Tamandua tetradactyla: one gene and its partner. The protein of the gene in region 2 interacts with the protein of the main gene of each other region in a biochemical or structural test. Links are inferred from orthologs where the notes say so. Each region holds a gene or a part of one and is shown on either strand. Other genes may lie near its edges. The genes, in order: CASQ2 and TRDN.

Evidence for each region.
Region 1: the proteins of TRDN (region 2) and CASQ2 form a complex in vitro, tested with the Homo sapiens proteins (3 studies listed by BioGRID). The link is inferred for Tamandua tetradactyla from reciprocal best matches to the Homo sapiens genes TRDN and CASQ2.

The regions. Positions count from the first base shown.
Region 1 is NC_135337.1:5,378,695-5,393,968, reverse strand, and holds the start of CASQ2 (calsequestrin-2), read right to left. Parts: upstream 7,648-15,274; 5' UTR 7,526-7,647; coding exon 7,292-7,525; intron 1-7,291. UniProt on the Homo sapiens protein: Calsequestrin is a high-capacity, moderate affinity, calcium-binding protein and thus acts as an internal calcium store in muscle. Calcium ions are bound by clusters of acidic residues at the protein surface, especially at the interface between subunits.
Region 2 is NC_135331.1:184,774,590-184,790,331, forward strand, and holds the start of TRDN (triadin), read right to left. Parts: upstream 5,556-15,742; 5' UTR 5,293-5,555; coding exon 5,271-5,292; intron 1-5,270. UniProt on the Homo sapiens protein: Contributes to the regulation of lumenal Ca2+ release via the sarcoplasmic reticulum calcium release channels RYR1 and RYR2, a key step in triggering skeletal and heart muscle contraction.

The DNA of each region.
Region 1 (15,274 bases), on a different chromosome or scaffold from region 2:
TTCAGGCACTCAGTTGGGCATTTCACATACATTCACTTCTCAAATAGCAACCAACATAATTAAAATAATAACACCTGACACTTCTACAACACCTTTAATTTTACGAAGAATTCTTATTCATCCACTTTTCATTTAATTACGTCAACTCATTAAAATAGAAACTACACAGCTGATTTTATAGACGAGTAAAATGAACTGAATCTCTGTGAGTGGCTCAGCATCAAATAGTGGGCCAGTAGAAGAGAAACACCTCGATTCAGGTTCTCTGACTTCCAGTCCTTGGCTATTCCCGACACTGCTCCCTCATCTGAGGATGAGTGTGTAAGGATGGCCGTGACCTTGCACAGCACACAACAGCCATGCTGCTTACGACGCTGGGGCACATTGCTGAATCTGAGGGGGCTGAAATCACTCCCAGCCAAAGATTACTTGATATACAAATCGATTAGGAGACTAAGACCTAAACAAATAAGAGACTACAGCCTTTTAGGGGCCTTGCAGACCTCTTCTGTCACAGATGATGGAAACCAGCACTCTCCCCTCCAATGGATGAGCCATGCTGGGAATACCACCTAAAAACTAGTGTAAAAAAAAAAAACAAACCTTACTACAGTACTGGAAAGTTGATCCTAAGAATCACCCTTCCTGCAGATACACAGGCCAAGAGTTTTTAGGTGGTGGTCCTGTCATTTAATGTCCAAGAGGGCTTGGCAGGAAACCCCTAGGCAAGGCAAGTCATGTGTGGATGACAGAAGAGTATCCCCACAGCTCATATCTGGTGAGCTAAAGTGGGAGCTTCTTAAGCAGAAAGAATAGAAGGTACCCTTTGGGGAGATACCAAGGAGCAGCCTCAGACCTTGCACTCCAGCTGAGTGCCACTGAAAAACAACAGCAGCAGCAGGTCAGCCTGGCATGCAACTATGATGTGGCTATTTTTGTGCCAAGGACCCAGATTGCTTGCCAGTCCAAGGAACTGCCTCATCTGCCCTAGTAAACATTATAAAGCATCATCTAAGCAGATAATGCTGTTTCTGGTCACAATGTGGAAAGCTTTGTTCCATTGTTTATTCATGCTAAAATTATTGAGTGTTAGCAAAGAGCAATGAATATTTGATGAATGAATGAAAGAATGCATGTGTCTATTCATGGATTCACAATAGTATTTTCATGTTATAAAACACTCACCAACTTGATCCTGAAAAAAAAAACTTTGTAACTTTCCTTAATCTAACATATATATTGGCAACAAGTTGGTCTATTTAATTGTTTCCCACCTTCCAACCCCACAAACACACAAACATAGTAAGCAGCATTAATTTTTAATGTGAAATGTGATGTATATTGCTAGAGATTCTAAAACTGAGTTCTGAAGGCCATGCATTCCTCCTTTCCCCTTTTCTTCTGGAGATGGCTTAAGTTGCCATGAAATTATTTCTATGTAAGTGTGAAACTGAATATGGAGATACCTTCCTCTTTTTCTTGCCTTCTTTTTCTGGTTGGAATGCTGATTTCCTAGAGGAAGATAGCTGCTGAGGAAAGAATATGAGCCTTGGAGTTAAAGATAAGATCTGTGTGAAGGTGGGAGGGAAGTGGAAGGAGTTATTGATCCCCCATCTCCTGCTTAGATGTTCTGGAGAGTGGTGATGCCATTTCCAGAGATCTCAGCAACTGATAATGTGGATGCAACATTATTTATGTGCAGCCAGCTCAGTGTCCTTCTGACATCAAGGTAGCTTCCTGCCACCTTTTCACATCACCAGTTCATTCATTCAGCTGTATTTTTGCTCTACACGCAGTTAGTGGACACTTGCCCAATGTGCACTTGATTCAGTCTGAGTTTTTTGGTGTTTTTTTTCACTTCTCCTATCACCAAGTTTGCTTTAAATTCTGGTTGCCTTCAGGAGGCGTCCAATCTCTGGGTGGGGAGGGGAATCACACACATGACTCCATTGGGAGAAAGTAAGTTAGAAGGAACCTGAAGAAAAAGAGAAAAACTTCTCAAAGGAAGTGAGACTGAACTGTGATTGAAAATATGGAAGGGACCTAATTTTAAAAATGGTGTTAATGAGATGGTTGAACGTACCAAGCACAAACTGAGCAAAACCTTGGAGGACTGAAGAGCTGAGGCTGGGGGCGTTAAGAAGCAGTGATTGTGGAGAAGTTTACTCCCCCTCTAAGGGGCACAGCTGGCTATGAATAAGCAAGATGGCATCTGCATCATCCATAAAATGATCTCTAGAAGAAAAGGGAAAAGGAGGGGATAGGCTGGGTGGTATCTAAAATCCAGACTGAAATGGGGAGTGTGGGATGGGAAGGGGCCAAATTTGTTGAGTTCCTTCTACATGTTAAATGCTATGCTCTTACCACGCTACCTCATTTAGTCTTCACAACTATTAGCTCCTCTTTACAAATAAAGAAACTGGATGTAACTCGGGAATTACTTGGGAATTGAACCCAGGTCTATCAGATTTGGAAACTCATTTCAGAATACACCATCTTTCAAACATTCAACCAGAGAAAACATTGGTGATGTTGGAAAACTTTCTCTGACAGTAGTCATAGAACCTGACACAAGCAGTGGCTCATGTCAAAGGGAAAGAGGAAACAGGAAACAAAGGAGAAAAGAGGAATTGAATTCATTGCCCATACCTCATCTTGTATCTCTGAGGCTGGTTTTGCTAATAGGATTTGGCCACTGTGGTGTGACTAAATTTACTGTCTTAGCTGAAGCTATAGGAGATGGCATGCAAAATTGCAACTCCTTTTATAATCTGTGTTGACACCCTGATTGAAAAATGGGAGAAAGACATGGAAAAATAACTCATTCAAGAAAAAATGTAAATGGCAAATAATTTATGAAAAAAAAATGTAGTTAGTTCATCAAAGAAATGTTCAATAAAACAACAATGAAAATCTAAATAAGCAGAGACATGCAATAAATCTGAGGAATTGTGCCAATACCCAAAAATAGAGAAACTATTTTGAAAATATGTATGGTCAGCCACTAGAATAACATCCTAGCATTAAAATCACATATGCAAAGAAAATAAGACTATGTCATGGCATAGGAGCACCTACAATACAATGGAAATGAAAAAAAGCAGGAAGCAAAGCTGTATAAATGCTATAATCCCAATTGAAAAATGTATGTTATGTGTAGAAAAAAATACTGGAAAGAAATCTATTGGAACATTAAACATGTTTATTTCTGGAGGGTTATTTTTATTCCCCTCCTTATTCCTGTCCATATATTCTAAAATTTCTAAATGAGAATGCACTATTTTGTGGCTGAAGGTTGCTCAAGCAGGGATCATGATTACCAGTGATGTAATCTCAGGCAAGTCATGCCATCACAGACCATATCAATGAGATGGGGTGGAGGGTGGGGTCAGAACAAACCAGATGATTCCCAAGGCTTTGATGAGCTCTAACCCTCAATCATCCATTCCACCAGCATTTATAGAACATTTGGAGAAGACCGTATACCATAAACCAGCCCCCGAGACAGATCCAGGCCAAATCGAAAAGCAAAGTGTGAGTTTTGTGCCTCCTGGAGCTAACATACATGCCCCTTTTCTGCTAAAGTTTTAGTGAACTTACATCTTCTCCCTTATCCCCTTCCACCTGTCCACAGAACTCACCACAGAATTCAAACTCAGTCACGTGGAGGTGTGAATGACAGCCTGGTATGGTATGGTATGGTACGGTACGGTACGGTACAGTACAGTACAGTATAGTATAGTATGGTATAGTATAGTACAGTGCAGTATAGTATAGTATAGTATGGTACTATTCCCCACAGAGGGCTCATATCCTATCCTAGAGGAAAAAGGCCCTCATGGCTAAATTTGGAGAAGATGCTAATTAGTGGGAAAGCATAAACATTTTAGAGGTCTCAGAATCTCTGCTCATGCAGTTCCCTCCCCTCCCCTTGCTTTCTTGCCTGGTAAATTCCTACTCAGGTTCACAGATCAGCTCTTCCCTGACATGCCTTCCACCTCACTGCCTCTTTCCTCTGCACTCCCAGAGAATCTTATAAATAGCTCTGCTATTACAGTGACCCCTTTGCACCATAGCTTTTTGTTTGTGCATCTTCTTCCATATTAGGCTACGAGCCACTGGACCCTCATTTTCCCTGTATCCACACCATCTGCCCCAAGGCCTAGCATTAGGTAAATGCCTGACAAATAAATGTATGACTAACTGGATAGGATGTCGAGGCCTCCTAGTGTGACAGTGACCTCCGTGTACTGTGGACGGGGCTCTGTCTGGGTCTTTTCGTTAACGTCCCTTAGATGAGATAATAGAGACCTAACTGACCATAGATGTCTTTGGATTTTTATCGGGATGGGATCGCCCTCGCTAGGAACTTCTAACCCCTAAAGCAATGTTTTTCAAACTGAAGGTGGCAAATCATCATTGGAGAGTGAAACCAATCTGATGGGTTGAAACCAATATAGAACAGAACTGAATAAAATAGAAAAGAATTTTTTTTAATCTAGCATTCCCCACGTAATAATGATGAGTCTTGCCCAATGAAACTTTTGTTGTGTATGTGTGTATGTGTGAGTGTGTGTGCATGTGCACTGGGTCACAGTGTGTTACGATAAAAACAGTTGTCAAAAGCCACCTCCCTCAACGACTAGGAGAGGAGCCCCAACCTTGGCTGCGGCTGTGCACCGGGGATAGCAGCTCTTCTGTCTGTACCCACCGCACAACCACAGCCCCTGGAACCGGTAGAATAGTTTTCTTAGTGCAGGGCCCAGGGGAGTAAGAGGATGAAAATTGTTGTTTTTCACCATGAAGAAAATTGTTGTTTTTCACCATGGCTCATACCCATACTCTCTCTCTACCCATGGGATGCCAGGAGCCATTTATGTCCTGGATTCTAAGAAACAGAGCTTGTACCTTGGACAGGCAGCTGGACAAATACCCCCCTGCCCATGCTTCCTCCCTGGTATGGACGTTGCTGGAGCAGTACCTCCAGAGCGCTCTGCTTCTCTGTCCTCTTAGTGCTGGTATCATTGTGTCCAGAGCTGAGGGACTCTATTTAATCACGACTCTCACAATGCCCCTAAACAGGGCCCCCAGCAGCCTCTTGCACAGTGTCTCATTTGATTCCAGGAGTAGCGCAATGTCTGTTGGAGCTAAGAATGCCTTCACCAGCACTGGATGTGTGACCATGGGCAATGCAGTCTCTCTGTGCCTCAGTTTACCCAAGTGTAAAATGGAGATGGTATTTCTATGTACTCCACAAAAATTCTTGTAAGAATTAAACCAGCTATTATCTAAAGTGCTTAAAACAGAGCCTGTGCATAGTGAGCCTTCAATAAATGTCAGTTACTATTTAATCATCCAATAAGTCTGTATGATAGTTATCATATCATCTTATTTGTAGATTTAAAAAATAAGGTTCAGAGAAATTAAGTAGTCTAGACCATGTGCCTAGAAGAGGCAGAGCCAGAACTTAAGTCCAGATCTCCTGGCTCCAAATTCCCTGTTCTTTTCCCATTAATGATTCTCCATTCCAACTTTAGGAGCCTGTGGGGCACTGGACAATGTCCTGTACTGAACTCTCAGGCACCCACAAGGGAAAAGTGTTCTTAGACTGTCTGAAGGCTTGGTGAGCTCAGGGGAACATCTCCTCCCATGATTTTGCTCGGGGCCCAGAACTTAGTCTTTGGGTTGGATATATACATATGACAGGGAATCAGAGACTGGGTAATTGTGCCATTATATTGGCCATCCAAATCCATAGTTTTGAAACCTTGACTAACTGGACAGTAATGAGTATATGGGATAAAGTCCTAATGTCTTCAGTTAACTTTTCATGTAAATACCTTTCAATAATTGAGTATTGTGGTTTAAGATGGATATGAGGTTTTCCCATTTATTTATTGCAAAGACCTATAAAGTGTCCCTGCTTTCTCTTGCAACCTACAGAGGGAACCGAACTTTCACATCCAGCCCCCAAGGCGGAGCTTGAGGAAAAATGTAACCATCCTGGTGACATTTTTTAAATGCTTAGCATTTTGTTATCCAAGCTTCTCTGCAATGACCACACGTCCATCTGCAAATCTTTTAAACATAGGTACTTGTATGATCATCAAAGACACCTAGGATTCTGAAGTGCTTTTTTTTTTTTTCACATGGGCAGGCACCAGGAATCGAACCCGCATCTCCAGCATGGCAGGCGAGAACCCTGCCTGCTGAGCCATTGTGGCCCACCCCTGAAGTGCTTTTAAAATCATCAAAGACATTTTAATGTGTTCGCTCTAGTTTGCCTGGATTTTATTATGGTCAAGATTTTTTTCTGAGACTCCAAATCCACGTAAATTTAATATGATTTTTCTGTTAATCAAGGTATTTGATTAGCCTGAGCTCTTCGTGCTGGTGAATAGATGGCTGTAAGGTTCAAGGAGCCCTTTGCAGAGTCTCTGCCTGGACTGGGCTGGGCACAGGGACAGATGAGGGATCCTGGTGCCTATTAGAATTCTTGGCACCCACAGGTGATCATAAAATGTAAGTGATCTTGAAACTGTCCAGGAAGAGCTGCAGGGACAGTTCCTGAGTCATTCTCAAAGGTTAAGAAAGTGGGCCTCCGGGTCAAGTGATAACCAGGCCATGTATTGTAGATAGAATAGGAACTGACTTCAACATCTGCCCTAAACTCACATCAAGAACTTTCTGAGAGAGAAAAAGAAAATTCCCATTAATGAATGTGCAGCCAACCTCTTCACCCAGCTATGTGTATAATGATGACCAAAACCAGATCAAGAGACAGGAAGAACATTTAGCGCTAACCCCCAATAGCCATGAAAAAACGAATGCAAGGTCAGACGACTCCTGTTTCTCCAGGATCATGGGGGGATTTAAGGGTGAAGAGTGGAGAGTGAGCACACTGAATGAAATCCACAAAGAATCCCTCAATTTTATTTCAGCCCAGAATTCTAATCTTCTCAGAAAAACTAGCAATGGGGGGGGGGGGGGGGGCGGGCAGGGGGCAAGCTCTTGTCAAAGCAAGAGGGCTGCAGTGTGAAAGACTTTAAATTAGATCCACTCACAATGGAACACTTTTCATTATCTCCATTTTTAAGAGTGGGACCCACCTCTCCTGGTTGACACATCCCAGTTTTGCAATAAGAATATTCTCAGATTTACAGACTTTGGGATATATTCTCTGCACGCTCATGCTTCTATCCCAATGCCTGACCGCTCCTTACCAAAGACATATGCCTCTCCCGCGCCCACGTCCACTCAGGCAATGCGGCAACCGCGCCCCTCTGCTCACCTCCAGAACGATTTCCTTCAGCTGGAACTGTTTCTGTGCGACCTTATCCGAAGACATGGACTCGTGGTAGTAGAGGCACAACAAGTCATACTTCTTCGAAATCTGCTTGAAGTTCTTCTCGGTCAGACTCCCCACTCGGTCCTTCCCGTCGTAGGTGGGGAAGCTCAGACCCTCTTCCGCCCTGCAACAGGCCAGCAAGAAGACCCCCGCCACAAACAGGTGAGTTCTCGTCATTTGGGAAAAGTTGTTTTTCTGTCTCAGAAATACGGGCGCCGAGAGGACGGAGGACAGTTCAACAAGTCCCTGTCGAGCCGGGCGGGGAGCAGAACGAGGCTGGGTCTCTCTCCCCTTGGCCCTCCCCAAATCTGAGAATTGACTCTTCACCTCCTTGGGTCCAGCCAACTCTGTAATCGTGGGCTCAGGACAAAGAGAAAAGAGGCTCGTGCACACATGCGCGTGTAGGATGGGAGGCAGGCGTGCGGGAGCTGGGAGGCCAAGCCCCAGATACCTTACATAGCTCTGCCCAGCCCCTGGCTCATTAGGAACTCCATTTTTAGGAGGCAGTTGTTTCAGGCTAAAAATAAATCATGCAACGAATTAAAAAAAAAGATAGATAGGACACTGTTGAGGGAATCTCGGATACAGTCTGTCAGAGTGGCGGAGCGGGAGGAGGCGGAGGGAAAAGAAGAGCTTGTGAAGTAAGTACACGAGCGCTAAGGGGGCTGGAAAGGTCACAGGAGAGACATAAACTGGACAGGGAAGAAGAGAAAAGGAGAGGAGAGAGAGATGAGGGTCTGTGATGCCAATAAGCCAAAGGAGAGGTGAGAACAGACGCCATGCCACTGACATATTATTGAATGGCTAAATTACTTGACGCAGGCATTCAGCCTGTCCCCTACCTGCTTGCGGCTGACATGAGAACAAAAGGGAGCCCCGAGGTGGACGGTATGATCTGTACCTGCCGTTCCCAGCCTTGAGTCCTCTTTACTTAGAAACCTTCCTGACGGCTGTGCTGCGTGCTGCCCACGCGGCTGTGCCAGTCTGCAGGGGGAACGTAAGGACACCTTTTTCCACGAGTCCAGCACATAAAGGGCTCCAGGGGGTCCCAGCCTGCCCAGGGCCGCTGCCTCCCTGCCACCGGCGCCCACAGCTGCACTCTATGCCGGTAAAGAATCCTCCCTATTTTTAAATGGAATAAAACTTTGACAGCCTCGTTCAGAAACCTTCTAGCTTTTCTGCTACCATCCCTGATATACTGCTTTTTTAACTTTAACCCCTAACGTGGTCATTTTTGCCCCTTTCCTCTTCATTAGAGACAAGTGGTATAGAGAATCTCAAAGCCGAACAGATCATAGTGCAAATTTCCGCTCTATCTTTTAGTAGCTGAATGAACTTTGGAGGGTTAATCACCTTCTCTGATTCCTTGTTATCTCCTATATAAAATGGGAGAAATTGTAACTATTGTGTAATGGAGCATATGAATGGTAGAATGTGCTCCATTACACAACAGTTATACTATGGTTATACTATTATATGTTATAAATAGTTATACTGTTTATAACAAAGTAGGTGCTCAAAAACAGTAGTATATTTCATTCTCACTGGCGATGGTGAAATATTGTTTATTATAGTAATTACTTGGTAGTATCTAATATTTACAGTTTGTGAAGCCTTTTCTGTTCATTTCTCCTTGAGTCCAGCAGGCAGTTGGGACTGAAGTGATTAGTGCTTGCTTTGCAGATGAAGTAACAGATTCAGTGAGATTTAGAAACTTGTCTAAGTTTGCAGGGTTACTAACTGCCACCATGAGAATCCAACTCCACCTCTAGACCTGGTACTCCTGGTTGCTTTGCCTCCAAGTCTGGGCAATTTCCCCTGCACACACCCCTTTTCTTAAGTGGGTCCCTGACCATCTCATCTCCTGGCCAATAATTGCTCAGCTGTGTCTTTTTGCTGTTTAGAGTTGGCTATGGCTATCTTATGAATCTTCCTTCAGTTGATAAATCACCTTTGGAGAAAGAGAGTATCTGTCACTCAGAGGTTTTGTAGGCAACAGAAGAAGAGAAGCTCAGAGGCCTACTTAAGTGAGGCAAGGACCCTCCACTGCAGCCAGAAGGCCTTATGCTGAGATTAGGCTGATAAGGGGTTGGCCTCCCAGGACATTTTCAGGTCCCAGGAAATTTGAAGAGTCCATCACCTGAAGCCTTGATGCATTTAGTTCTTTCTAATGGTGTAGACTATATTTTTTAAAGATGGAGCCAAGAAGAGCCATCCTGAGGTGCAATGAGCTTTCTAGGTCACCGGCAAGCATGCAAGATCTTAGCTTTCTCCAGAAAATTTAAGGAAAAAAAAAATTTCAAGTGAAAGAACGATATGTCTTGTCTTTTCAAGGTCAGCTTCCCAAAACTGTTCCCAGCTGTCTCAATCTCATTGGGTTATTTTAGAATGTGCTCCACCTTTCTTAATATTTAAATTTTTTGTTGTTGTTGTTGCTATTACTGAAAACCTAGGAGATATTTAAAGTCAGAGTCTATAAATTTCCTACTGACTTACAACTGAAGAAAACAACCAGGGAAAGGCATAATTTTTTAAGACTTGGTTTAATCTCCAAGTCTAGCTTACAACCAAAAAAGTGCATTAAGAACAACACGAAACAGTCCACGTGTGGCAATGTCCTGTGTCCAGACCCTAGATGGGGCCCTGTGGCCCAGCCTTGAGATGGTCTGGCCACTGCCATATGCTGTGACCAGGATTCCCTCTGTGCGTCCACCGGTAGATGTGAAAGTCTAAGTGGGTGCCCTATTCTTACCAGGAGATAGTTTTCCATGGTCAACTTCCTAGGTACCAGCCTTCTCTCTGGTGGCCTTTTATTTTCTGGTTTTTGTCTTTTCTTTGCCTTATTGCTTGCCACTTTTTGTGTGTGAACAGTGAAAGCTTCACACATTTTTGAGTCATCTTTCGCTGCGTCTTGTGAATTGTTGTCTCATTCTAGTTTTAGCTGTTGCCCGAGCCCGTGTGTCATGTGCTTCCAATTTTTGTCGTCTTGCCGAAGCGTATGTGTCTTTATGTGCCACTATCAGGACTTTTTTTGTGTTGTTCTGTTGAGCAAGAAGGTATAAAACAAAAACAAATCATACAAATGAATGTTCATTTTTATCGTGACGTATGATATAGGCCCCTTGATTTGCTAATAATTTCCAGTCCTCACTCAGTGAGTCGGCACCCCCTGAGGTCCCTTAATTGAGCCTAGCCCCTTTCATCTATTTATCTTTGATGAGCAGAACGATTTTGTGTGTATTATTTAATTTGACCATCACAAAAAAAAAAAACCAAAAAATCCAATTTACATATGAACCAGGATATGCAGGCACAATCTTTCATTTGCTTATCAAGTAAACAAATATGTATTGAGCATCTTCTAGGTACCAGAGGCTCTTCTGGGAACACCAGGCCTACATTGCAAACTTCGAACTTATGCCCTAAAGGGGAGAAAAACAATAATAAGACAAACAGAAAATCCGTGTGTGTGTGAGAGACGATGTCAAGTTGAGGAACGCATTCCCACGACCAGTTGGGCAGGGGAGGGGAGGCTGAGGGGCAGCGGGTGGGCGGCCCTCTTGGGTGGTGGTTGAGGAAAGCCTCTGTGAGGCGGGGATTTTGCAGCTGAGATGCAAAGGATGCAAAGGAGAAGGCTGAGAGCAAGCTGCTTAGAGACGCAGGTCCCAGCGAGAAGTGGCGGGTGCTTCTGCTTCCGAGGGGATTTCACTGTTTCTTCCTGTCAAGAGTGGCTTGCGCACTTGGACTCTTATTTTTTTGATAAAACGCATGTGCTCAGACCGATCCGTGGAGCATTAAAGCACAGGAATCCACCTGGTCGGCTTTGAGGCCAGGAGACCCGGCCCCTGGGCTGACGCTGGCACAGCCTCCCTGTGCTACCCCGTTCACTCACCTCTTCTGCCCTCACATTTCCAACTTGTGAAAAAGGGAGTCAGAACCGCTGATGTCCTAAGGCTCCATTCTGGACTTAAAAGTTTGAAAGTTTGTTACCCCCATAGAGAATTTTGTTTTACTAGAATAGGCCTTGGCACAGCCCTCAGGCTTGAGGAAGCTTGGTGTCTTATTTGCAGAGGAGGGTTTTGAAGGGTGTGCCCTTTGAACACGTCCAAGCTTGCCAGTTCTCCAAGCTGAGCAGCTCCTCCTAGGACGCGACTGCATCACAGAGGTCCTTCTTTGGCTAAAATGCTCCACCCAGTGGACAAAGCAGAATATGGCATCTTTCTTCATTAGGTCCCTTTACCTCTTACAGCACTTCTGCCGGGCAACTAGCCAGGCCAAGTTCAGACTGTCGACCGGTTAGAGAAGGTTCCAGAAATGCTTTTCTAGAGCCCTGGGATGCATGGCTTTAGGCTTCCTCTGGTCAGTTCAGGACAGGTCTCTTAGCTTCTTAGCAACCTCAAGGCCCTCCTCTCCTCTGAACTCTGAATACCAGGTGCCCCCCAGAGCCTCCTCCGCCTCCCCAACCAGGATACTTCCAAATCAAAACACGCAGAAAAGGACCAATATTAAGTAAAAAACGGATCCCAAAGCTCTACCAATAACAATTCCAGATTTAGACAAATGGTACTTCCTCGGGGATGCTCAGAATGTAGAATGTAGAGTTTTTTCCCTATGTAGACCGAGCTTATCAGAGCAGGGCAAGCTTCTGTCCCTCAGTGACCCCACACAACCAGCCCAGGACTTAGCCCATAGTAGTTCCCATTAAATAGTCAGTAAATAAATCGGCTTTCTGTTTAATAAATACTTAAACAGCACTTACTTTGTGCCAGGCTTTATTTAAAGTGCTTAATTGAATTGAACTTAACTCATTCATTCTTCTTAACAGCCCTATTAGGCAATTTTATTATCCCCTTTTACCACAGGGGTAAACTGAGGCACAGAGAAGTTGGGTAATTGGCCTAAGGTGACATGGTTGGTAGTGGCAGAGCCGCTGCCTAGCAGGCTGGCTCCAGCATCTACTCCCCCTGCCGGGAGCCACCAGCTAGATGGCTTTCCCAGGAGGCTTATGAATTCAGGAATTGCTTCAGAATAGTAGATGGCCGCCTGCCATGTGTGACTACTCAGGGATACGCCCAGGATTTTAGTCTTGCATTGAGCCACCGCCATCGTGTGTGGGATTATGCTTTGTGTGGGCTGGAGAAAACATGGAAGAGAACTAATGTTTTTTATGCTTACCATGAACCAGTCCCTGGGTTCACTACATTTTACACACTGTCTCATTTAAATCCCATCAAGCTGCATATTATTTCTTCCATTTCATGAATGAGGAAACAGGTTCAGCATGGTCAAACCATCTGCCCCAGTCACACAGCTGGTAAGTAGCAGAGACTGGATTTGGACCCATCTGTCTGCTCTTGTCAGGACCCAGTCTGCTCAGCTCAAGGAGGGGGAGCCTTCTCTGTCCCCCTCAGGGGCAAGCAAAATGGAGAAATTCAGATTACATAGAATTTGCATGACAAGAAGATAAAGGGATACCAGCCATTTTTTTTCCTATCACTGTTATGTTACCTGGCATCATTTTTTATTAGCTTCTCAATCATCATCTGGAAAGAAAAAATACTAGAGTAATGTCATTAAAAACAGGTCTGATAAAGAAACCAGGCATTTTGGCAGGAGAGAACAAAAGGAACAGCTTTAAAAACAAAAGGAAATGAGGAGATTTAGTTCAGCAGAAAATGTAGATAAGAACAGATACATGGAAAGTTTTGGGTTAATTTATCCTGGATCCAGAGGTGGGAATATAGACTTCTCATGCAATGAAATTGAAGGACAGGAAAAGCGCTGGCTATAGAGGTTATATCAAAGTGTGCAAATGCAGGGCATGGCGGGCAGAATGATGGCCCCAAGGGGGAAGACGACCAGATCCTAATGTTGGCACCTGTGAGTGTGTTACCTTACATGGCAAAAGGAGCTCTGGGCTGGTGGTTAGGTCGGGGCTCTTGAAATAGGGAGAGTTTTCTGGGAGGTCCAGTGCAATCACAAAGCTCCTTGTAAGAGGGGGCAGGAGGAGCAGAGTGAGAGAAGGAGCTGTGATGATTACAGCAGAGGTTGGAACGCTGAGGGGTCTCAAGCCCAAAGTGCTCAGCAGTCTCCAGCAGCTGGGAAAGGCAAGGAATCGATTGTCCCCTGAAGACCCCAGAAGGGAGGCCACCTTGCAGACCAACTTCAATTTCTGATCCCCATGACTGTGAAATAACAAATGTCAGTTGTTGTAGACCACTAAGTTGGCAGTAAGTTGTTGCAGAGGTAATAAGAAACCAACACGGAGGCTAGTCAGGGAAAGCTCCTCCAACAATGCGGGAAAGCTGACCGTCCTCAGAGCTTAGCTGTTCTAGAGGTAAAGATAATTTGCATCTTCATGTAGCCCATTGTCTGCAACAAACACATATGAGAGAACAGTTCATCACAGTATAGTTGAGCAGACTCTTTTATATTTATGACATAAATATCATAATATTTATGAGCTGGGACAACCATTTATTTAAGCAAGTCATTTCCCCTCTCAAGACCTCCAACTGAGAAGGGCTGAATGGATCAGCTGGAGGCCCGCATGTGCCAAGGGCTGTGCTGAGCACTTTACTTGTAGCAACTGACATATATCCTCACAAACGCCGTGTGAGGAAGACTCTCTGTCTGCCTTTGACAGATAAGGAAATTGAGGCACAAAAAGATGAAGTTACCTGGCCCAATGTCACCCCATTCACAAACGGTGAAGCTGGGATGTGAGTGTGGACGGTCTGGCTCTAGAGCGCATGCTCCATCCTACTGCACTGCACACCTCTGCTAAGGGCTCAGGGCTTATGTATTTTTTAAAAAATAATTAATGACTTTTGACTTCACAGCTCTCAGTAAACCAACAGAAGTATTGGATTTTTAGCCGTGGTCCCCATATTTTCAATAAGCTCAGATCTCAGGAAACATTAATGAATGGGTTATCAGGTCTTCTGAGGCTTGGGAGCCTCAACTGAGGGTGATTGGTGCCCCCACCCCAGGAGACATTTGACAATGTCTGGACACATTTTTTTTTTTTTTTTTTTTTTTTTTTTAAAGAGAGAGGGAGGAAGGGAAGGAAAGACAGAGAGAAGGAAGGAAGGATGGAAGGAAGGAAGAGAGGAAGAAAGGGAAACATCTTTAAACATTTTCTTGTTTTATTGTATTTTGTTTGTTTGTTTTTGTTTTTTACATGGGCTGGGGCCGGGAATCGAACCGAGGTCCTCCGGCATGGCAGGCAAGCACTTTGCCCGCTGAGCCACCGCGGCCCGCCCACATTTTTTTTTTATTGTCACCGTTCAGGGGTGGGCGGTAGGTGCTCCTGGCGTCTGGTAGATAGAGGCAAAAGATGCTGCTAAAAACCCCACAAGGCGCCAGAAAGCTCCTCACAACAAGGAATCAATCGTCTGATCCAAAAATGTCACTAGTTCTGAGGTCGAGAAACCCTGGGCTTGATGAAACAGGGTCCACAAAGTGCTGCTTGAGTCTCCTTCTTGGTGGAAATTAACTGGGGATACAGTCCTTGTGCTCTTATTTGAATGTGACCCTGCTCCCAAAATTGAAAGAATGCGTGGCATGCTTCCCTTCCTGGTTTGGTACATGAACACTGCTTTTGGCCTGTCTAGCTCCAGCTGCGTTACCCTTCGCTTTTTATAGCTCTGCCTCGTGCTCTGATGGCCTATGGGATGAGTTTAGATTGGGAAGGCCACCCTAGTTTTAACTATTCCAGGGCGAATATTCACAGCATGCCGGGTTCTTTTACCTTTCCTGGATATACACTTTAATATGATCCTCTGGTGACTCTTTCTGCCTGTCCTGTTTGCTGGGTCATCCAAGTAACAGATCATTTTCTGAAGTCCCCTGGTCACTCATCCTCAGCACGTGTCCAGCCTGATGTAGCTCAGGTGCTCAGCATTTGGTGAGATTGTGTCGTGT
Region 2 (15,742 bases):
GCCCTCTAGTGCTGCATAGTGGAAAAATTCAACCATGTGCCTAAATGACCTGGGTATAAATCTTTTCACCATTGTGGGCCTCCTCCTCTGAATATAATTTTAAAATATATTCCTGGAAGCGAAAATGATATTCCGTATGTCATCTATTGCTTTCCTTTATCAGAACTTAACCTGGAAGTGAATTTCAAGTCAGGGCAGAGGAGCCACTGTTGGTTTTGTTCAATAAACTCTGATACGCAAATTGGATTTTTTCATTGTCTTAATTTCACCATCTGTCGCCCGAGGTGATGTAACTACTTGGCACAGTTGCTGTGGTAGATTGAATCATGTACCCAGAAAGAAACATGTTCTTAATCTTAATCTATCCCTGGTGTGAGCCCATAGTAAGAAGGACCTTTTGAAGATGTTATTTTTAGTCAAAGTGTTATTACCCAACCGAGTAGAGTTGGGCTTTAATCCAGGTTACCGGATCCTTTATATGCAGAAGGAAATTCAGGCAGAGACAGAGAAAGCCCGAGAGAGGAAAAGAAGTTGGAAGTCAACAGAATATGTAGAAGACCAAGGAGTGGACATTTCCATGTGCATTGTCACGTGACAGAAAAGCCAAGGACTCAGAGGGCACAAGCAGTCGGACCCAGGATGCCCCAGGCTTCAGTGGGACGAATCACCTTGCTGACGTGCTGATTTTGGACTTCTTCTAGTCTCAAAACCATGTGCCAATAAATTCACGTTGTTTAAGCCAACCCATGATAAAGTATTTGTTTTAGCAGCTGGGAAAGGAAGACAGTTTCAAGGAACCCTGCTGTGAATTCTTAATCGCTTCTCTTGGCAGCAATAATGGGCCACCCTCTCCTGCAGTATCTGTCAGAAAAATATGTGAAATAAATTTCAATTTTTGCTCTAAACCTCTCAGAGGTTTGATTGCTACAGAAGCAGTGACTCATGGACTTACTTCCAGCAAGGAAAGAGTTCCATTAGTACAATATCCCCTCTCTGGAACCCCCAAAAAATTTAATGAGAATGACAGGCAGTGAAGTTGGCTAAAACAATGGGGATGTGTTGGCTCACAGTTTTGAGACTAGAAGAAGCCCAAATCAAAGGGTCATCAAGGCGATGTTTTCTCCCAGAAGACCGTGGATTCTGGGACTGGCTCCTGGTGACCCTTGGTCCTTGGCTTTTTTGGGCATACAACAGTGGTCATATGGCAATGCACATGGTAGCTTCTTCTGGATTCTCCCTTCCCTTACAAGTCCTGCTGATGTTCAGCTTCTGGCTGCTCTCTCTGGCTCGCTCCTGCTCTCTCTGTGATCCTCCCTACAAGGTCTTCAGTGATAGATCAAGATCCATCCTCAGTCAGTGGGGCCATGACCTGACTGATGTAACTTTCTGTGAAGGTCCATCTTACAATGGGTTTCATACCTACAGGAACGGACTCAGTTGAAGAACATGTTTAACTAGGGCACATAGCTCCAAGCCACCAAAAAATCTTCAAACTTTCAGATAAGCATTTCCTTTAACTAGTAAGTGCTGAATGAATTATATATAGGATCGCCACCAAATTGAATTCCTAACAAAAATCAATGTTTTCATATATTTTCGAGGTCCTTGGATCCAGAAAACACCACAATTTTATAAATATTCTTGTGAAAGAATTTAATTGCATCTTAAGTAACAAACAACTTGAAGACAATGCACGTATTACCAATTGTCTAAAAGTCTCCACCATTTCCCACAAAGCTATTAAGAATTAACTAAATTTTGTTGCATTATCAAAATCACTCAGAAGGTAGTGTTGCATAATAATATAAACTGTCAAATAGATGCTGAAATTGGTGGTTGTAAGTTCATGTGATTTCAGAAAGGGTTGCCAACGTTGGTGCTTGCCAGGAAAATACCGGGCCTCTGGAAGGAAGGTAGAGGGCTATTTATAGCCCTAAACCTGAGTGTTGTTTGAGTCTAATCCAATCAGGGGTCTGCTCTAGTTTGTCCAACATAATGCGGTAAGGGCCAACCCTGATCCAGGGCGCAGGGTAGGTCCTTGTCAGCCTCTGAAGTGACACCAGGCTAATTATCACTCTCACACAGCCATATTCAATCCCACTTTGGGCTCAGAGATCTGCCCGTGAACCCTAGCTGCACCGCAGAGAGCTGTGTGAATTTAGGCAAATTATTTAACCGTCCTAAGCCTCAGGCTCCAATTCTAAAAATAGGAATAATACGAGTATTTACCTCATATGGCTGTCCTGAGGACTAAATGAGCATATGACAAGTTTATTCCAGTGCTTAAAATTTAACGTCTTTTCAATAATTGTGAGCTGTTGCTATTGTCATTGTAAGTATTATCTTTATTAATTTATCATGGCCAGAATCAAAGGGCCCATTTCTCTAAAATCCTTTGAGGTTCAACTGTGCCCTAATTCTAGTTCCTGGAGCAGGAGCTAGATAAATTTCCTATTTAGCAGTCTTTCCCTTCTTCCTTCAGATGTCATAAGCCTGCTTGGAACATTGAGAGGAAATCTGTGTGAGGGGCACAGCCATGCTCATGGCCATGTCATGTTCTATAAGATGCAAAAGCACTGGGATAAGCCACAAGAGAAAAGAAATGGATCCTTAGACCTGCCCTATTATCAGTGACCATGGGAGAACGTATAATCCATATGATATACTCTTACAGAAATTGAGGTGAAGACATTGGACTAGAGCCTTAAATATTCAATCTGGTTGCATGACTTGTGATCAATGGACGGAAAGGACAACCAATAGACACAAAGAGACAACTGTCAAGGAACTTACATTTCAGTTATATGTCCACAATGGGTGACAAAGAATCACAGCAGGCTGAGATGGGTTATGTAATTTGCCTAGGGTCACACAGTTCCATGTGGTGTAGTTAGAATTCGCACCCAGATCTCAGAGCCCAAAGAATATTTCATCCTGAGGAATGAGCCTGAACTAAGGCTCAGAACTAAACTAAAGCTCTTACAAAAGACTGAAAGAGGGAGGGCCACGGTGGCTCAGCAGCAAGAGCGCTTGCCTGCCATGCCAGAAGACCCAGGTTCGATTCCCAGTGCCTGCCCATGTAAAAAAAAAAAAAAAAAAAAGACTGAAAGAGGGCTCAAGTCGCTGAAGGGGAAAAGTGTGAGAAGAATTATGAAGACACAGCTGGCAGTGCAGAGTTGAGCAGTGCATGAGAAATTTTGGGATAACTACAGAGAATGACTATGATACTAACCTTAAAATGTAAGATTGTTTGAGTCAGCAGTCTAATTGTCATTTGAGAAACACCATCACTAAAATCATACCAAAGACGGAGAAAGCAGGTAATTGATGTTCAGGTAACCTAGAACCCATAAGCTGCTAAGACCACGGAGTAGGAAAGGAATGACCATCATCCATGAGTAGGCAGCGTCTATTAATTCAGTTATTTTTCACGGGAAGCTCCAAGGAGCCCTCTAAGACTGCAATAGGACAGGACAGAAAGGAACATTCTATATCATAAACAGGCATTCTCTTGCAAAAAGTTTTCTGAGTCCAACGCAAGGTATAGACAGCATAATTCACCTGCAAGACAAAAATGTTTTGGCCAACTGATCTTCTGAACCAGCTGGCAGGCCATGTCTGCACAGAGGTGGGGAAAATACTCATCAGTATCCTCATAACTTGTGCAGCGGGAAGCAAGAAGTTTTTATAGATAGCCCCCTTTAAGTCAAACTGAAGGTAACATGACACAGAATAGCTATGGAGTAGGAAAAATGCAGTTTATATTTAGTTAGAGAATTCTGAACTAAAACTGGTAAAGAACAAACCTGGTATCCACTTACAGCAAAGAAGAAAAACAAAACTACAAGCTAGATTTAAGGGACATGGCTTTAAATCTTGGCAATGTTGTGGTCTTGAGCGAGTCACCCATCATCTGTCACGGTTTTGTTTTCTGCAAAGTGGAGACACTAATGCCTAATTTACTGGCTTCTGTGAAGCTTGCATAAGTAAATACATTTAAAACCCGGAGCAAAATACCTGACACGTGGATATTGTTAAGTAATTTTTTAAGGTAATTTGGGTTGCTAAACTAAATTTCTCACTGAAAGGTACAAGTAAGGAAATTCTCCTGATAAATATTGACTGAAAAATCTCCAACACTACCATCAGTGTGTCCACACTAATGTATCACCAAAGCGCCTAAAACCGGTCCTGTATTTTATGCATTGATTGTTCTGTAAATCCACAACTTCCACATTAAGGGAAAGAACAAAAAAACAAACAAAAACCACTGGCACAGCACTGAATTTGGAATCTGTCGGCAACACCACCTGTCTGATTTTCTTACAGCTGTCAGAAACAAATTTTAAATCCACCTCCCCAATTTTTACCCTAATGGAAACCAGATTCTATTTTCAAAATGTTTTCCTTTTTATCGAAGGGTCCTTTTCTTCAAGGGAGATATATATCCCTGAAAAATTATTGCTACCGTGCACCCATGGACAAATAATAAAAATTATACGTAATGGCATGTATCTTTTCAAAGTAAGCTATGAAGCAGAAAATATTTCTTTTAATATAAAAGATAGAATCCACCATTAAGGGAAAAGAGAAGTGAGTTTGTGAAAAGAATCAGAGAATAACATTTAATTGCCTTATTTTAAAAAGACATTATTCACAATGATTCTGTGGAATTCCACTTTAGGCTCCAGGTTTCCACCAGTAATAGAATACAGACAATTTGTGTGGGAGCATTTATATCTTAAATTATACCTAAATATTATATATATGTGTCTGTTAATATGGTTGTGTTCTGTGGGAAAAGGGAAAAAAAAGACAAACTTAAGATCTCCATTTAAAAATATCATAAAACAAAAATGCTCAAAAATCACTTTTAAGTCTAAAGTCAAATGCAGTGTTTTAAAATGATCATGGCCTCCATCCTTACAAGTCTTGCCCTTTTTGCTAGGTAAGATATCAGGCAGAGTGCTGCCTGACTGTAGCTATTTATAGCGGTGCTGGTGACAGCTGATAACTGCGGGACCTTTGGCACAGCAAAGAACAGTTTTCACATGCAAAATTTCACAGAGAAAACTCTTCTCACTCCCACAACACATCGCTCTCGGTCAGCTTAGCCTCTCAGCTCCCCAGTCCACCGCTCTCTGTAATCTCACAAACATGGCAATTGCCTAGAAACAACATTGCTACATTGTTACATTGACGGTCAAGGAGGCTGTCAATTCACACATTTTCCTCCCCTACTCGACACTCTCAGCAAATGGTAGCAATACCTTCAGCGGTGATCTCGGTCATGGTGGTCTTTGGAAGTAAAATCAGGTGGCAGGTCCCAGTTACGTGGCACTTTGCAGAATCCTTTGGATTCCAGAACTCTGGTAGGGGGTTCTGTGTTGAAACGTGGGTGCTCTTCCTTTTCCTGGCTGTTTGTGCTGCTTCTTCGTTGTCCTGTGGAACTTTGTCTCTTCTCCACTGAGTTCTCCCCCTGGAAACAACCTGAGCCCTTTCCAAGCAGCACTTGTGGCTTAGGCTGAAGTATCAGCTTCCTACAAAAATAGCCTCCTCTCCCTAGGACTCTTCAGCACTTTTTTTTTTTCCCTTTTGGCACTCTAGGGGAACACACACACACAACCCCACACATGCACCAGCTCTCCAGCCCCAGAGAGAGATAGGCAAAAATAAATAAATTAATAAATCAAGGCAACGGGACTGAACAGCACTGTCTAAGCCCCCACAGCTTTCCAAAGATAATTACAGATCTTGGGGTCTATGTCAGAAAACATGAAATAAGGAGTTGAAAGTAATCTTATCCCTTGATAGTTCAGATTTATTCTTAGTGCTCTATGCCTCAGTGCATTCCTCCTTCCCTTATTTGGTTTGGGGAGGGTCCTGTAATGTCTCCCAGAAGCAAGGTGGGGGGGGGGGGGTAGTCTTAAGTAATTTTCTCCTATTTGATTCTCTATTGGTACAAAGCCACTTAGCAAGTGCAGTTATTTTTATAGGCTACAATTAAAATGCAACCCTTAAATCCAGGAGCTTCTTTCTAAAATAGTCATTTTGCAGGAGATTAAGATTTTTCCAAACACTGGCTGATGAGAAATATGTGACATGAAGTTATGTTATGACACTTGAGAACCAATGAATTACTGGCTTTTTAATTCTTCAGTACCTTACTGAGAACAAAATATCTGAATTTATCTATGCAGTCAATGAAAGGGCAGGTGATGTAAAGGTTCAAAATCCACAAGCAACGCTGTAGTAAGAGATTTCAACTTTTCCCTACCTCACCTTAAAAAAAAGGGGGGGGGGGATCCTAGCAGCTAACAATTAGCCAAATTGGCTGATTAGCATTTCACCTTCCCACTCTCACACAGGGGTTAATGAGCAGAGGAATATTCAGTAGCCAGTGGGGGGAAGGCAAAGGAGAATCAAAGGGCATGGATGATCACAAACTCTAGCCAATTCTTGAATAATCAGGGGTGGACTACTCTCATCTCTTGTTTCATCATTCTGTTCAGCCTAATAACTTCTGTTAGTTGAATGTTTGGTTCAGCTTTACCTTACTGCCTTTTGTCAGCAGAACCTTTTGAATGAGTATGGTACTTCATAGATCATAGGAAAGGCACACATGGGGTTGCTGTTGTTGTAATTTTTGTTTGTTTTAAAACCCAAGTCTCAGAAGAGGGTTGTGACAAGCATTTCCATTGGCAATGACCTCCCACATGCCGATGGTTCTGTTTTTATTTGCTGACTCAGGTTCATAGGCACAGTAAGCACAATCGCAAGTGTTTACATGTCAGCTGAACAAATAGATTAACAGCAAGGACTGTTAACTCATAGGAGAGAATGATTCCAGGGAATGTTCCGGATTTTATACCAGGTTCTACACCTACGCCTGAGCCCAGACGCTTTTAACTACCAATCCCATACTTTTTCCAAGAGGTGGTGCCTTCCTGCAGACACTAGTAATTGCAGGTAAAGAGAAACACTAAAAATAAGTCTGCCAATTAGATGAAGGATACAAAATCCTCGCAGGAACCTTATGGGCACTGGGTTGGTGGCCACTTTCTAATCGGGAGGAGGTAGCCTCAGAACAGAGTTCATATTTTGTCCCCAAAGGCATCTGTATTTAATATCAACATATTGCTTCCAATTTTAGGAAGGCAGCATTTCATACCTTACTCTGTGACTCACTTTCAGTCTTTCACTGTGGTAAACTGAAGAAATAATAATGCCTTGTGTAATTCATGAAGAATATGCATGGGTCAGGGCCTAAATAAAATTAGCTAACTTAGAGGGAAAAAACTCAATTTCAAAATCGTGTTTAATATAAACTGAAAATAACACTGAGTAAGAATATTAAATTCCCAATGATTGATGTTACTCTTAAGTTCCAAATCACTAAACTCATGCTATACATATCAGAGGGAAGAAGAGAAAAAGTATTCCAGCCAATAAAAAAGTTCAAAAATAAAACAATCTGTGATATGAGTTTATGAATTTTATTAGACATTGCAAAATTAGGGTATTTCCCATTTTGAAGAGTTATTAGCACTTTTTCAAGTTATCTGAAACTCAATTCATAAGGTACATATTTTGAATTACAAATGGAACTTTATGAAGATTTCCAAAACCAAGCAATCTACATTCTTCTAAGGAACTCAAAGAACAGAGAATAATAAACCATCATTTGTCCTTTATTTTTGAGAAAGTCATTTAAAAGGAACATTACCAGTTCAATGGGTTCTAACATAACCCAAACATGGGCGTTCTCTCTTCTCAGTAATAACATCTCATATATTTTCATGCTTTCCTTTTCTGTAGGGTCAGCAGTTAGACTGGTCATGATTTTACATACAGGAACATTTAAGAAATTGGGACAGTAATAACAAACTTTTTCTATATAAATCACTGGTAAAACCTGAAAGTTTGGCCTCCTATTAACTGCTGCATTTAGGCTAAGATGCCACTTCAATTTGATGATGCTGATCATCATACTTTATGATTTTCACTCTATGTTCTAAATACTCAAGTTAGTAGACAAAAATATTCTACCTTAGAGAATTTTTTTTAAACCTGGTTGCTTTGTCAGCTATTACCAAAAAGAAACAATCAGCAAGACATCTACTGCATTTGGCTAAGAAAAATATATTTCCACCCACATCGAATGTAAAAGAATCCAGGAGACAATTAGAACAGTTCTTAGGATTTTTGGTTTCCACCACAAAATATTAACAATAAAATGAAATGAAAAGGAGCTTTAAGACCACGCTGCAGTATCTTGTTCAGTGTCATTTTGTTTTTTCTGTGGTGAGAAGAGAAATATTGAGAACAAATACTTACTTACCTCCGGTCACCTATTTTCTGAAGGACTGGAAATATTTGAGAGAAAGTGAAATTTTAGGATACTCCTTAAGATCTTCTTTGTAGTGAATGGAAAAATAATAAGAGACTTTGCATAATGTAGTAAGTATAATCAGAGTAGAAGTCAATTTGTGGGATATCCAGTTGGAATAAAAAGTATTCTTCAATTGGATCTTAAAATAAAATATTAAATAATTAATTAATTGAAATCATTGGCCATATGAGTTCTAGTTTTCAGGTTCATTTTAAATAGGAAAAATAAATAAATAATCAGCCAGAATGAATGGGTGGAAAAAGGGAACCCAGTGTCACAATTAAAAAATTAAAACGCAAACAACATGTAAGCTACTATCTGATGCCTGACTTAAAGTAACTTACAAGGGGAAATATATAAAAGAGAAATGCTTAACTTTAACTTTGTAAGTGAAGTAAAACTTGGCAAAAGCTATAAATATATATGAAAAATTGGCTTTTGGTAACCTTAGAATGAAGATATATAGAAGAAACTAGGACCATTTAAAATGAACTTGAGGGCCACTTGATGTATTTGCTTTCATTTGACCTTGAAATCCCATCATATGACCCAGAAATTCCTCTGAAGCTTCCACCTGATAAGAATAGTCTTCAGAAATCACAAGAAAATTCTCAACTGAAGTACAGATTCATTAATCTTATTTCATCTCAGGGCTGCTGTTCACTTCATTTTAACATGTTTTGTGTTCTATTTGTGTCATGGAAAATCTCATTCTGCCCTCATTACTTTCTCGAAGTGGCCTGTGCTCACTTCTTTAATCAAAGGTTGAAAGTCAGTCCATAGATTTGGCTTACCAACTGATTATTTAGAAACTGTATAATCCAGATCGTTTCAAATGACACAAGGCATTCCAGCACAATTAAAAACTTTCCCCTCTTAACTCTGACTCATAAATAGCTGAGTCTCCAATATCAGGCTTCTCTCCTCACAGACATTTGACATTGTCAAATATTCTCCCATAAATTTGCCTGCACTAATCTAGTCTTCAGTTAACAAAGCAACGGATGCCCCTTTCTTTCTTATAAATTTCATTGTCTGAAGATCTGGCATCTGTCCGTTGCTTTACCCTCTATATGATGATCTGCACTATCCTGTACTTGGTAGCCCCTACAGGGCCCATTATTCAGATTACTCCATTCTGTTCTGCAGTCTATCGCACCCAACCTTCAACTTATTATAGTCCTGGTTGCTATTAAAAGTGTCCCACTTTTATGATTTATGCCTTTGGATGTTCTTATAAATACCTTTCTTATAAAAGGTTAATTATCTACTGATCAGTTCTTAGATTAACAAATTTCTTTTTCTCTTAAGCATTGTAATGGATATTGCTCTTTGCTACTATAGAAAAAGAATTCTCAGTGACATAATAAGAATTTTGTTCTTTACTCTTACCATGATTCGTTTTATCAACAATGCAATCTATTGTATCTGGTTTATCATTACCAAATACTACATAGCGTCATCAACTTTGTGAACTTATTTATAAATAAAGAAATTACTTATTAATTCCATTATTCAGTCAATATATATATATATACTAAGCTCTTCCCTAAGCCCTGGGCTAGTTCTAATGATACAAAAATAAGTAAAACAAAGGTTTGGACTTCCTGTTGATTATAGTATGGTAAGAGAGTCAAAAATGTAGACCAAACACTATAGGTATGATAAGTTCTAGAGAAGAACAAAGAATAGAGTGGCAGAAAAGGAGTAATCAACCCTGCTTTATGGAACAAAGAAAGCTTTAAGAAGGCCGGCATATTGGAGCTGGATCTTGAAGTATAAGAAGTTATTTAAATGAATGGTTGATTGAAGACATACTTTCCAAGTAGAGGGAACACTCAGGAAGAGTAATGGAGGCTTAAAACACCATATTCTTTAAATAGTTTGGAAAGATTTGGTCACTGAATACTTATAAGGAAGCTATGGAAAAATAAACAAAGGAATAAAAAAGAGCCTGATACTAAAATGTTTTGTTAGACTTACTAAGGAATTTGGGCTTAATGTTGATTTGGGATGACACTGAAGCATTTTAAGCAAGATGAAATGATCAGTTTACCTTTCAAAAAGACTGTATACAAAAATAAAATGGTCACGCATCTTTCTCAAGACAATTTTAAGGGGGCCTTGGAACAAAAGCCAGATTACAGAATGTGGGGCAGATGGAAGCTCATGAAATGAGGAATAAGCATAAATATGCTTTTGAGAACTTGTTTGAAAAGGGAAGGGGTAGAAATTAGTGAGAATTAGAGGGGATTCATGGAAAGAAAAGGATTTTCTTTTAAAGATTGAAGAGCCTTGAGTGTTTTTATCCTTTGAGGGAAGGAATGCAGTACTGAAGCAGGAGAGGTCAAGAATATAGGAAATGGAAAAAAAGACTAGAGAAAGAGCTTGTAGCAGAAGGAAGGTTAAAATTAGACTCTTTTAGACACTTTCAAATATAATAAAATTCTTAGTAAAGTTAAAGTTAAAAGAAAGGAAATAAGAAGGGGCACAAATGGAATATATTAGAGGGGGAAAAATAAAATGAATTCTTACTTGATGGAATTATTTTTTCCATGAGGCAAATGTTGCATGCTAAGTAACCAAGGGTTAGAAGTGGAAATGACAGTTTGAGGAGTATTTTAAAGATTTCATAAAATTTGCAGTGGTAAGGGGAGAGCCAGCCTCTGAGGATTGCATAGTGCTACTGAGAGGCCAGCTGGATTTAAAAGACCACATGTTTGTAGTAACAAATCTGAACTTGCATTGGTTAGAATAATGTAAGAGGCTGAAGCAAAAAGGTCTCCAAATATACCTCTTCAAACAAAATAAAAGCCTATTTCTCTATTGTGTTGACAGTCCACAGTAGTATTCCAAGTCAGCAGGCTGCTATTCCCAGTGGGGTCATTAGAAATCAAGGCTCATGGTAGCCCTGCCCTCCTTGGGTGGCTTCCAGGATTGCTCTGGTGATACTTACTCCAGCAGCAGAAAGCTGGAAGAGACACGGATAACCTCCACTTCTATTCCATCACGATGATGATTCCTGGTCACACTCAACTACAAGGGTGTAGAATTGGGGCTGGCGTTGAAGTCTCACTAAAACACTATCAGAGTAGCAAAGTCTCCACCTCAGGACCATTTGGGGATTCTCTGCAAGCGTGTTGGTAAACTGAGCATAGGAGCTGTGTCGATGTTTGGATTAAAACCTTTGGGAAAGCATAGATGTGAAGAAAAATTTTAGCTAAGTTTCAACCTAAACCATGGAAATGGGAAGAGCAGTCTAGAGATGAGAGTTTTGGAGAAAATGCATGATCTAAAGGGCTTTTATTTAAAGTAGAGCCTAAAGATTACAGCGTATATTTATAAACCAAATATTTTTACATTCAGAATGTAACTTAACATCTAAACCCATGAAGAGCTGCAACATCCAATGAATATTCATGTGAATGAGGAACAAAGGTGTACTTACCAAGAATTAAATTATTTCCAATGGGTGTATATCAAGACATTGACTTCCACTTTTAGAAGAGGTTTTCTAGCTTTTGTTTATTCAAATCTCTTTTCTCTCCTTTTATTTGGGGAAGGGGGTATAATGCCAGCAGAATATACCTCTGCAGAGTATTTCATCAGTTCAAATTAAAGTTGTATTTTACAGTTGTCACTGATATATGACTTTGAGAATATGAATTGCTGTATAAGTGTTAAATGTTCCCATCCTCATGAAAATCACATTTCACCTCAGAGCCTTGTCTGGTTGTGTTGTTCATTATTCATTCGAAGTCAGGATTTTCCATTTTCAATATTATAATTAATCTGAATATTATTCAGAGCTGTCACAACTGGCAGATTGTCAGCTTTCCTTGACCTCCTAACTTGTAGTCACTCATTTAAAGTATATTATTTTAATTCTTAATCTCCTTCCAAACAAAACAGAACCATTTGCTTTGTGTCTCTAAAAATCCCATTTAACAAAACAGACTCACTCCTCTTTCCTCCCTCCTTTCCCTTTTATTTAGCAGGAGTTATTTTCTCTCTTACATGTCCCGACAGTGTCAGCCTGACTACCTGAAAGCCAAAGCATGCAGGATTTGCATTAGGAAGAAAAGTACTTGTTTTGTCAACTTTACATCCCACACAGAAATCGTGAGCTCTAAGGTTAGAATAGAATTTCAAACCAATATAAGTGGTATTTCATGCTGGGAACAAATTAGAATTGTGAAAGGCACAATGCTTTCCCATATATGAATCCATGCTGTGTTCGCGTGGTCACTAAATAGAAGAGATGTTTGGATATGAAGAATAATGGAGACAGCACCCTTGTCCCATGATGCCTCCTCCAGTAGAGAAGCCTGTTATATATAAATCGTAGGCTCAGTCCTATAATTTAGAAATTAAATTAGAAAGTTTTCTGTTAAAAGGCAAGTAACATTTGGAATACAAAATTATGTTAGAGAGTGCATTGCACATACAGAGGCCACATTTTTCAAGTTTGAGTCCTTTGCAGACACTGCTTATTAATCAAAGCATCCTCTCCTACTGAGCCTGGATACAGTCTCAAAATTCTCTTCCACAGGGCATATCTTGAAGACAGTAGAGTTTCTCCCATTTGACCCTTATGATGATGCTAATTTCCATTAGCTGGGGAAAAGGGTAGGGGGTAGGAATTAGGAGGGAGAGGGTTGAGACCCCACTGAAAGAAGAAAGAGCGGCATGCCAATGTCAAACTTACAGCCCCTTTAAACTGGGTTTAGGGGTGGTTGTGTCTCTGTAGAGTTAAGTGTTGAGCATTATAATCTGCAGAGACAATCAATTCTCACAATTTCATTGGAACTATAAAAATCAGCAGTTACTTCAGCTGGTTCAAATTAGAAGGGTATATAATTTTGTTTTTGCTTTGGAAATGTTGCGGACTACAGGCATGTTTGATTTAGTCACTGATTGCATTTACATTCCACTGGATTAATCTAGCAGCATCATACTTTTTTTTTAAAAAAAGAAAGTTTAAAAGCAAGGGAAAGGAAAAGAAAAAGTAAATAAAATGCTGTTATCACACACTCAAAAATATTAAGTACCTATTCATAGGTGGAACACATTTCAAAGTGTGCTTAGTTTTGAGGTGTCTGGGACGTGGAGATACATATAGTTTTAAGGATCCCAGAAATACTTGGCACAAGCAGTCATTTTACAGACGAGAAAATTGAGACTCAGGAACACTAAGTGACTTGCCCACAATATATAAAGAAATCATTATTGAAGGTCCTGAACTAGAATCCAGTTGTCCTGACTCCCGGTTTAGTGCTCTTTACATTAATCCTCGCTGTTCTTTTTTTCTTTTAATCTTTCTTATCCAGATGTTTAATTTTTGGCTTTATTCAAGCAAATATCATGAAATGGACTGGATTAAATAATAGCAATTTTATTTGCTCGCAGTTTTGAGGCTAAAAGAAAGCCCAAATCAAGGTTTCATTGAGGTGATACTTTCTTCTCCAAAACCGGAGGTCCGGACTGCTTGCTGGCCGTCTTTGGTTTTTGGCTCCTCCGCCACATGGCGCCTCTCTTGGGCTCTCCCTTCTCTTCTGGGTTCCACTGAATTTTACCTTCTTGCTTCCTGTGGCTTTCTCTCTCTCTCTTTCTGAATTTCATTCTAACAAAGGACTCCAGTAATAGGATTAAGACCTGTCCTGACTCAGAGGTGGCCCACAGATCCCCTGAAGTAATGTCATCAATACATGCTACTTAGAATGTGTTCACACCCACGGGAATGGCTTAGGACTAAGAACATGTCTGTCCAGGGTACATACAGCTTCCCACCACCACACCAGCCTTTCTGGATTTGAGCAAGGACCACATTTATCATGTCCCCTTCGGACTATTCTGAATCCTAAAAAGAAGCGAATGGGCTTGAATCCGGGAAGACAAATAACATCGCCCACACTTTCTCCATCTCTCAACTCTGTTTCTACTTATATTTGCCTTCATTCTCTCCAAATTTTATAAAGACTTTTTCCATGTGGTGGGACAGTATAAGAGGACAGACCTAGATACCCAAGATTCAGGTCAATCTAGATTATAATCCTAGAAGAAAGAGACAGCCATATTCTCCCAATGTCTGTGTATAACTTGTGTAAGGATAGACGCTTACTAATCTGATTTAAATCACATGCACATCCTCCAATCAAGCTCTGTGGTCAGGAGGACAGGGCATTTTGATTGGCTCTCCTGAGTCATGTGCCTATGCCTGTGCTCTGAGGGGTAAGGGCAGTAGTTGGCAGCCCCACCAGAACCTTCCGGGTGGGGGAGGAGCAGTTGCCCAAGAAGGAAGGTGTCAGTGCCAGAAAATAGTAAAAGGCATACTGAGCAGACCGAAGCAGAAGTCACCACTTGATTATGAATATAAATACACACGCAAACACACACATACACACACACACTTCTTCCAAGAAATATGTATACAATATCCCTTTCTAACAACACAATCTCACAAGTCAAACCACACCCAGCCCTTCCGCAGAGAACTTCAACAGAAAATGAGTTGATTTATCTCTGGGCAATAAACTTGATCAGGTCTTGATATATATATATATATATATATATGTGTGTGTGTGTGTGTGTGTGTGTGTGTGTGTTTAATGATCCAGCACTTAGAATTAAATGATAAATCTAACCAATCTCACACAATTGACATAAAATGGTAGAGAGAAAATAATCTTTTTTAAAATGAGGAAAAAGAAAAAAGAACATGCAACTGTTCCTGGTCCAGAATATCACACGTAGGAGGGAAGGGAACAAGGACTAATTTGTTGTTTACATTTTCCTAGAAGAATACATGTGATAAGTGAGAGCCACGGTACCATTTTGAAATCATCACTTCTCCTTGGCAATGCCCTTTATATCCTCGACCTTTGACCCGAGTGTTCCCTTCAACTTTGTGCTTTCCACTCTGTTCAAAATCTGGGATGGTATTTTGGTGTGTTCTTAGGGGCACATATTTTCCCTGAGGATTGGCCATCTCTTGAAGGCACCTTTTCCATGCAGCCTGTCAAACACTGAAGCTGTTGTGTACCCCAGAAAAGTTCATGTTCTTCTAGTTCATTCTTGTGGGTGCAGACCTGTTGTAGATGGGAACTTCGGGTTAGGATATTTCAGTGCAGATGATGTGACCCTCCTCATTCAATGTGGGTCTTAATCCTTTTACTAGAACCTTTTAGGAAAGGATGAAAGTCAGAAAAAGCCAAGCGAGCACAGACAAAAAACCCATGGAGTAGCTGAAGAGAGAGCCACTGAAGTCAGAAACTGAAAGCAATGAAACCCAGGAGAGAAGGACCAGCAGACACCAGCCTTTCCAGGTGACAGAGGTGACCCAGAAGCCAG